Linked DNA regions of Drosophila melanogaster. The protein of the gene in region 1 interacts with the protein of each later gene in a pairwise test. Each region holds a gene or a part of one and is shown on either strand. Other genes may lie near its edges.

What was found. Proteins that work in one complex are often made in the same cells at the same time.
Region 2: the proteins of CG14926 (region 1) and CG14153 interact in a two-hybrid assay, tested with the Drosophila melanogaster proteins (one large-scale study listed by BioGRID).

Annotation. Positions count from the first base shown.
Region 1 is NT_033779.5:11,341,379-11,345,894, reverse strand, and holds CG14926 (uncharacterized protein), read left to right. Parts: upstream 1-2,576; 5' UTR 2,577-2,726; coding exon 2,727-2,795; intron 2,796-2,849; coding exon 2,850-3,058; intron 3,059-3,115; coding exon 3,116-3,312; intron 3,313-3,366; coding exon 3,367-3,416; 3' UTR 3,417-3,594; downstream 3,595-4,516.
Region 2 is NT_037436.4:10,641,122-10,645,825, forward strand, and holds CG14153 (uncharacterized protein), read left to right. Parts: upstream 1-2,406; 5' UTR 2,407-2,421; coding exon 2,422-2,469; intron 2,470-2,535; coding exon 2,536-3,201; 3' UTR 3,202-3,494; downstream 3,495-4,704. Other genes in the region: CG32066 (uncharacterized protein), read right to left, coding at 80-344, 411-673; CG14154 (uncharacterized protein), read left to right, coding at 905-1,480, 1,583-1,756.

The sequences.
Region 1 (4,516 bases):
GGCTAAATGATGCAAGCAGAAGCAATGCCCCTTCGGTTGTTGCTGCTGCTTCTGCTGCTTTTGGCACATGACAGCCAGCCAAAAACCAATAAATGTTTTCAAATTTATTGCTTTTCATTCAAAAATTACTTTTGTTTGTTTCGGTTTTCACAATCAAATCACACAGAGATCCATACCATCCATCCCGGCCATCCCTCGAGGATATTTGCCGGACAGGACATCAGTTTTTATATCGCAAATTGTCAACAACAATAGCGGCAATACTACGGGAGGTGAATATAAAATACAAAATAGAAATAGTGCTCGACTTGTGAGCTTGTCGGTTTTGTATCTTGTATCTTTAAGAACGAACATAAAATTAGATTGATTATTTTTTGTAATATACAAAATAGATATATCTTTTAGTTTATATTATCATTGGTTTCTTCAAATATCCTCTTTAATAAACATAGTATTAGCCCCACCTCTTAAACTCTCACATCTTCATGAAACTGCTACGATCGAGAGGATTTATTCCGGTGATTAAGCGAAAGACCTTTCATATTTCAGCCAATTAGGAAAACGATCGCAACAGCACATCCAACAAGCATCACTAATTGGCAGACGTTTAACACTCCCCCTCAACTCGATGAGTTCCTCAAGATGGGACCATAAAACGATTTCCAAATGAAAACTGGAGGCACTCAGCCAGCTACTGCAGATGGAGATCATCATCATTATTATGATCATCAACGGCAGCAAAAGCAGCACGATATGAAGGGGTTACGGTCGATGGAAGATTGGAAGATGGGTACTATATGGCTAAAGTTCCCCCACGCGCCACCGATGATGCCAATGATTAATTGCCTCGAAAATGTTTGTTTTCATAAACAATTTTTTTAATAGACCCTCGCATATGTCGGCTGTCGGACGAGTCAGAAACCTGGATCTATCGGGGTCGACGAGTGGGCGGGGTCAAAGAGTTAAATCGATTCGAGTGTTGTCTTTGTCGGATCTTAATGCAGATGACTCCGATGACTCCGGAGTTTCAATGCAGCTATTTTCGTGTCCTCCGCCTCTGATCGATGCACTCGTGTTGGGAATGTAAAAAGAGTTGATAAATCAAAATGTTTTGCCGGGGTCACAAGGCAAGGCATTTGAACGCCCCCGTGGCCCTGACAAATGGGCCCATGGTATTTGGGCTTATTGAAGGTGTTAATTGGCAGCAATTAGGATGGACCTTAAGCGGTGGAAATTCATATTTTCCAACGTTTAAATACGTTTAAAATTAGACAAAATGTTGGTGGAGAAAATAGAAAGACAAACCAGAGTAAGAAAAATATTTATCCCCCGGACGAGGGTCGCCAAGAAATTTATGAAATTTCTGTGTGCTCTGGAGCTCGTGGCATTCCCGAAACAGATTTTTTCAATTAAAAATAAAAAATGTTTTCAACAGGTGACAAAACAATTTTACGGCCCCAAGACCGCACGAATGCCATAAAATGGGATTAGCCATCAGGGAGATGACGATCAAAGGAGGGCACTTCTCGTTTCCTTTCCTGATGCCTTGTTTTGAGTTAAAGGGACCATCAAATATTTTATGCATTTTAAATTGCTGCTAAAAAAGCAGAGCTAACGTTCCCTCATCTCTTGCCATTCCAGCCATAAATCTTAGGGCTCGGGAGATACATTTTGTGGGACGACAGGTAGATCCCATTGCTGGCTGGTCCAAGGACATGCCGACACTTGGCCTCAAGTGCATTATGAATATGAAGCAATAATTTATTTATGAACCTCATAACGATGCAATTTATGAGGTCATCTGCCATTGTCTGCTGCTCCTTTGTAGGTCAGTCTTTGGCCTTTGTTCTGCAGATCGGCAAGAAACATAAATAAAACTTGCATCGATAGGAAACTGGTTTGTCAGAGGCAGGGAAAAAGATACAGCTGTGCGGCATGCGGTGTGTACAGGTGGAAGTCGCTAAGGATAACAAGGTTTCTTATCTACCGAAGTGTGGCCCAACATGGGTTTTAGTTTGTAGTGCTAAAGTCCTTTTCGGACAAAATTTATTTAGTAGTTTCCTATCCAACTGGTTTATATTTCTTACAACTTTCACCAAGCACACCGTCTGAATATATTACATTTTTAGAATAAAACAATAATCAGTATTTATTGCGCTACATTTGCTTAAACATTTATTTATTTATCACCAGCATCTGGACATTAATTCCATAAATCAGCCACCCAGACACTGAAATGATTAATTCAATAAGTTTGAATGGCTGTTCTTAACTGCCATTAATAGGCTAATAATCTCGAGATGATGATTAAAAATGTTTATTATGACTGTGTTTGCACAAAATTTGAATTTTATTATGTCTAAGATTATATGAGAAGATCAGAGATAACATTTCAAAATCTCAGCATGATCTCAAATATTCCGTTAAGAGCGAGTATAGAACACAGACTGGTTTTTGCTAATGATATTCATGATGCGACAACGAAATGATTTATTTTGTTTGTTTTCCTGTTATAGAAGATTATAAACGTATAGATTGTACATGACTAAAACAAGTTAGAAGTTTTCAAATCAAGTAAGCATGGAAAACACATTAATGTGTACTTCAGTTGGCTCGAATTAGAAATCCTCATTTTTAGTCCGGCATTCAGTAAGGTAACAGATCGGCCAACAAAATTTTTTCAAAAACCATTTGAAATTTTTTTGAAATTTTTAAATTTTTTAACGATGGAAAACGGTCCGGAATTCAATTGGGAGTACAGCCATGGTGGTCAGGGAAATCCCAACTACTCACAGGTGAGTCTGCCTACGTACTTCGGTATCCGGGTCTAAACCATGGAATGGTTTCAGATGGGAAGGGGTAGTACTCCTCCTGGAGGCGGTGGTCGTCAGTGGCTGCACTCAAGTCAAGCGAACACCCAAAACTATTTGCATGGATCCAGTGGAATGGGATCGCACCAGAATAACGCATCTCCAGGTGATCCATTCGCCTCCTACAACCAAAATATGATGAACATGTACACGAATTTTAAGCCCAGTTACGGTCATTCTCAAGTTGGGTAAGTTTTTTTTTATGGATCTTAAGGCTGATCTAAAACTGTTTTGGGTTCTATTAGCCCGGCTTCGGTACAGGGCATGGGCTCAGAGCCTGGTCTTGAAATGGGTAACAGAATGGGCCATTCCATGCCCGAGTCTATGGGATTCGATGGAGGCATGGGTTCCGGCATGGGCATGAGCAATGGCCTTGGCGCTGGAATGCGAGTTGGTTCCATGCGTGGTGGTCAAAGGTTAGCTGGAGGCTACTCTTCGAATGGTAAGGCATTTTACTTACCTAATGAAGAATCGCATTAAAATCGTTTTTTTGTAGGTCTCAATGATCCGAACCCTTCGCAATCCCACCGTGGTAGTTGGTTCTAGAAGAGCCCATTAGTTCCTAACTAACTTTACGAATCTCATTTGGCACTTGAAAATTAAATATAATAGGCTTCCCATGAAATGTATATTCACAAAGCAAGTAACTCGAAATTTCCCGTTTAAGAATAATAAATTGATCACATAATAAATATTTGGCACATTTATCAATCTGCGATCACGTGTACGTTATCTATAGTTGTGACCGTTTAATTGTAATCGATATTCAAATATGGCCGAGGGTCAAACGGTGCCATTAACGCCGGCTAACCTTCTGCCCTTTTGGGTGCTGTGACCTCTGTCATCGGGGATCTGTGTATGGAAATCACGTAAGGGATGGGGTGGGGGGTGGCTTTAGTTGCGAGGGGTGGCGCAAGGGCATAAATAACAAATGCAATGTATTTGTATGTATAAATTATGATGATACTATTAGTTAGCATGTCATTCGGCAGCGGGTCTATAAATTACGGACAGGCAACAACTGCAGCAGTGCACACCCACCCTCCCATTTTTAGGGGCCAATGTGCATCCGTTTTTTTTTTTTGGGAGTTTTTATTAATAAATTTACATATACATACGATTTCGGGGGGCCCCTAAACATCGCCACTCGCCTGTCGCATGTCCCCAAATGAGGAACTCCTCCCGTTTCGGAAGTCCCGCGCGTGTGTAATGATCTGTCGCCCTGGATCAGGGCAGCGGATTAATGGTAAACCGAACGCATTTTTCATCGAACATTCCGTTGCATTTTTTTTCCTCGATTTTCCACTATGTTTTTAACAAGCGCCCATTTCGGAAGAACTAATTTATATATATTTGTTTCTGTGCGGCGAGAGTTCAGTAAACTATATGGAATCGCTACGGTTATGAGACCGTTCCGTTCGTTGTGCTCCAGATACGGTCGGTTCCGTTCCCCTCCATGAAACCCTTTCGGACGGAGGGATCCCCGGGTGGAATGCCAGTCACGTCTTGGACGGATAGGCCAGAGAATAGACCCAACCGACAATCACTCCGCCGTTTTCTGCCTTCATTTCAATTCAGTTCTTTTTTTTCTTTTTTTTTGTTGTGTGATATATATATGTATATATAACATTAAGTTAGTCCGTGAC
Region 2 (4,704 bases), on another chromosome or scaffold:
ATCGATACGCATACACATAGAAATTAACGTTAATGAACTCTCCGCCCACACCGGCCGCGCCCACCGATCCCCTCCAATATTATGCGGCCAACAAACGCTGTATATTCTTCGGCGTGTTCTCCCCATTCAAATGCTTCGTCGTGTATCGCAGGGCATTCAGCAGCGGCTCCGCCTTGATGGCCGGTTGCGCCTGCAGCAGTCGGACGCACCCCTTCACATCCACATGGGCGCCACGCACGAAGGCTCCCTCCGGATGCACATGGTCGTAGAGGATCACCAGGCCGACCATTACGCGCAGCACCAGCATTTTCGTGTCCTCACGCTCGATCTGTTGCAGGAGTTTTCTAAAAGCAATATTGTCCATCGATTAGAATACTTATTATCATTGATAGTGATTCATTTAAACTCACGGATTTTCCAGCATCCTCAGGCACACCTTGGCCATGGTGCCCAGCGTTTCCGTCGTGTTCTGGACATCATCGGCATTGTCATTGACAAACTTTGAGGTCGCCTCGCTCAGCACCTTGAGCATGGGCGTGGCGTGGGCGTAGAACAGGGACATCCGGTTGGCCAGTTCCGTGCTGACCAGCATATTCTCCGTGGAATCCACACGCTGTCGGCTGACGATGCGTCTGTAGTAGCTAAAATCATTCTGTATGGCGGGGGTTTTCATCTGAAAAATAGAAATATACAATACAACTTAATAAGTTTATCACTTTGAACATGATTTTAGGTATGCAATATGCCTAGCAATGAAATATTATCTGGCATCATTTCGAAACATCCGTCAAAATGAGCAAGCAAAACAGTACGGGATTTAGGAACATATTCAAAAATATTTACAAACGAGACATGAAAGGGTAAATTGAAAATTATTTAGTTAGTTTTCTAATCAACTTTTGGGATGTTGATTCGCACCGCTCGCAGAAACAGACAGAAGACCTTCGTCGTGGAGGATTCCGAATCGCAGAAGCCCGAAAAGAATCCGAGTCCCGAGCGCAAGGAGGATCGCAAGGAGCGCAGGAGGGAGGAGGAAATGGAACGCAAGCGGGAACTGGAGCGGCGAAAGGAACTCGCGAGGGAAAAGGAACGAGAGAAAAAGCAGCATCAGCAGGAGTGGCGCAAGGAACTGGAGAAGGAACGTCAGCGTGAAAAGGAATTGCAGCGTGAACATCTGAGGAAGGAGCCATCCACTTCCTCCAAAAGGGTAAATCCAGAAATCACCAAATTCGACGAGGAATTCGAGCAGGATATTCAGAAGTTGGAGCAAAGCATTTGCCAGCTGGACTTTCGCTCCAAAACGATGGCCACCATGTGGATGGACAAGCTGCGCCAACCACCACAAAATGCAGACGAGGCCAGATCTAGGAACATAATAACATCCCATCTGCTCAAGTGCTGTGGCGATAACATATTCAATAAGGAGCCATTCAATCATCCTCCGCCACCACAAAATTTGACAACCATAAGGGAGATGATGGTGCGTTTAAAGCAAGTCGTTCTTGAAATATTAAGCTATAGTCATATTTAGACAATTTTTTCTTTTCACTGAAATCTAATTATTTTGTATTCTTTTTTCTAGTTCTTAACGCGCGATAGTACGTGCCACGGAATGCCCATTTCCAAGCAGATGGAACCCAACGCCAATCTAACCCAATTATTTAGCGATTCATACGATGGTGGCGAGTTCCTGAGAAAGCTTCCAGTGCCACGTGATGGGGCATTCTTTATCTATTACATGCAACCAAATTTGTAGAAGTGAATTGGATTTTAAAGTAACGCCAGCTAAATTTCAAACATAAGTCTTCAATTTGTATTTTTTATACAAAATGTTAGTAAGAAAACGTTGATACCCTTTACTATAATAAAGCAAGCTCGAATTGTTTCTAATTTTGAAGTTCAGTCATATTTTTAGATAAGATACATATGTAGGGAAACGGACTTGTAAGTTTTTCTTCTAGCAAGCAGCTTTATCAACAAGATCATAAGGTATGCAACTATCGGTTGCTTTCAACACTCGCTCTTGTTAACCTCTAATTACAGTTGACTTGAAAATCTAATTACTAATTACGCGGTACGTGACACCGCAATTTGCCTGCCGCCCGTGTTGCCAATGCTTCCAAATGGTTTTCCACTACGGGCCAGGCCCAAAACAACGATGCCGCACTTAAGCTGTCAGGGCTGCAAAAAAACGTGCGTGAGAAAAAATACAAACATTACAGAAATGCCGCCTGCTAAATTTTTGAGTCAGGTAAAGTGGGGTTTGCTCATCCAATCACCTTGACAGAGGCGCTGCTGCAAACGAACATCATGCACTACTATACATTACTATACTATATATACTATATGGCTTTCCAGAGAGACTGTTGTGAAACCTCATATAAATACGTTATTAGCATAAATCGTTCTGAACAGTCAGAAATGAAGCCGCAAACAGGACGGATCGTGAAGAGCAGCTCGTCGAGCTGGGTGAGTGTTTCACTAGATTTCCATTCGGACACCCGAGATGATTAATCTATTAATGATTATTCCAAGCTATGTGCACTTATGCCCCTGATGATCGATGCAGTTTGTGGGAGAGCTCAGTATGCATCACCTTATGGCAGTGCTTATGCAATTACCACATCCAACTACGCTCAATCCAACTATGCCAATCCAGATGTACAATCGATATGGTCGGGTCCGCCTATCATAGTGAATGATAATCAGTACAGTGCCCAGGAACAGCAGCAGTATCCAAAAAGTAATGGTTATTATGTTGCGGAACCTGCGTATAGACAAGCATATCCAAATTGGAGAAGGGAAGACCCAACACATGCTCCCAATCACAACTATAACAATGTGCCCGGCTACTTTTACTATCAACAACAGGAGACTACGCCATCAACACCTCTGCGCTATCCTCAATCTCAAATTCCACCTCAACTTCAGCCATATCCACAAAGGAATCCGGAATTGGAGACCAGCGATTCGGGTCGCGATGAGGAGCAAGTGGTCCAAATTGGCGGCAGTCGCTCATTGGCCACAAATAACTATCTAAATACGTACAATAATAAGGAGAATTTCTATGAACCCGCTCAGCCCTGGAGGCGTCGTGATTACCAGGCCAAATATGCCCAACATTTTGCCGAATATTTGCGTAAATATCCAAGACGCCTGCAGCCAGTTTACAACACCAACGAGGATTTTGTTGAAAAGTAGGGGAATACTCTGCATTTGACTTTGCATCAAAAAACATATTGAATAAATCCCCTCAAGAGCCATTAGCAATTTTCGTTGAAAGCGTGCCAAGAAAACTATTTCTGTCTGTACTCGGAACAGATCAATTGCATCCGATAAAGATACAGATTGCAGCTGCTGTAGAGTCAACATGCCAACACAGTAAATATTGGTTTATCCCTTTAAAAGGCAAGAATAATAATAATTGTATGTAACAAAACTATGCTTAGTTAGTTCCGTAAGAGATACACAACAATAAAAGTTATTTTCAGAAGATTTTAATTAATTTAAAAAACTTCACTAAAAGGGAAATACCCATTTTTTGAAGCATGTTCTTTGTATTCTGTGGCATGCGTTGAACTTTGAATATCAGTGGTTAACTTACATAAAGGAGCACTAAAGCCAAGTTTATTGTACTCTATACAAGTGCCTTCTCGATGCCCCAAGATTTTTCGCAATAAACGCGACATTAAAACGAAGCAAGTTACAAGCAAAGTCAATAAATTGTACAGCATACTTTGGGGCGCACTGAAAACTGGTGGCAACAAAGGCGCAGAAACAATGCTCCTCCTCTTCGAGAAACGGAAGTGGCAGTTAGTTGGGAAGCACGTTTGGGCTATATAGTATGTACATACATACATATATATATATCGGTGTATACATATATGCAACTTTTTACACGGGAAAATCTGTGAGCGCCCGGCGGCTGACACTTTGAGCACACAATGAACGTGCAGTTTGCAGCGTTTAACATCATCATCATCATCATCGCCATTATCATTACCATTATCGTCGGGAGCACAAAGTTGCAGACACACTAGACATCAGAGACTAGAAACCGACGATGGCGATGACTTCGCCATTCCCTACCTCCACCATTATTTACCCGATTGTCCTAGATCCCAGCTTTCAGCTATACATATAGTGCTCCACAATCGATTTGAATGAAAGTTTCGCCAAACGGAAGCGAACCATGGGAAATGCGCCATTCACAGGGATTTGCCATTAAACAAATCGATTTTATTTGACTCCAGACAATCAACCGGCATATCCTCCAACTGCCGCAGAAACTGATGTGGCTCTGTGTAATGTGTTTTAACCCAGTGCGGGGATACGTTTGTGTTTGCATAGTTCACAGGCCTTTGTTATGGCCAAACACTTCAGGTTAGCCAACATAATTGAGTGTTTGAATTTCATTAAAAACCTATTGATTTTGTGGGCATTTTTTAAAGAGTTTATGCTAGGAAAATAGTGTGGTTATTGTGCGTTAGTTGCAATGAGTAATATATAATCAAACAAGAACGGAAAAGGTAATTTAAAATAAAATTAGGAAAATGAAAAAATACTGAACAACGTTCCTTTTATAATAATCACAAAAAAAAAAAACGCTGTATAGTTTTTACACACGCACTTAATAAACATTTGTTAGCTCTCATAAATAACCTCTTGTTTACTTTTTGAATTGTACCCTTGTAAATCTTTCTC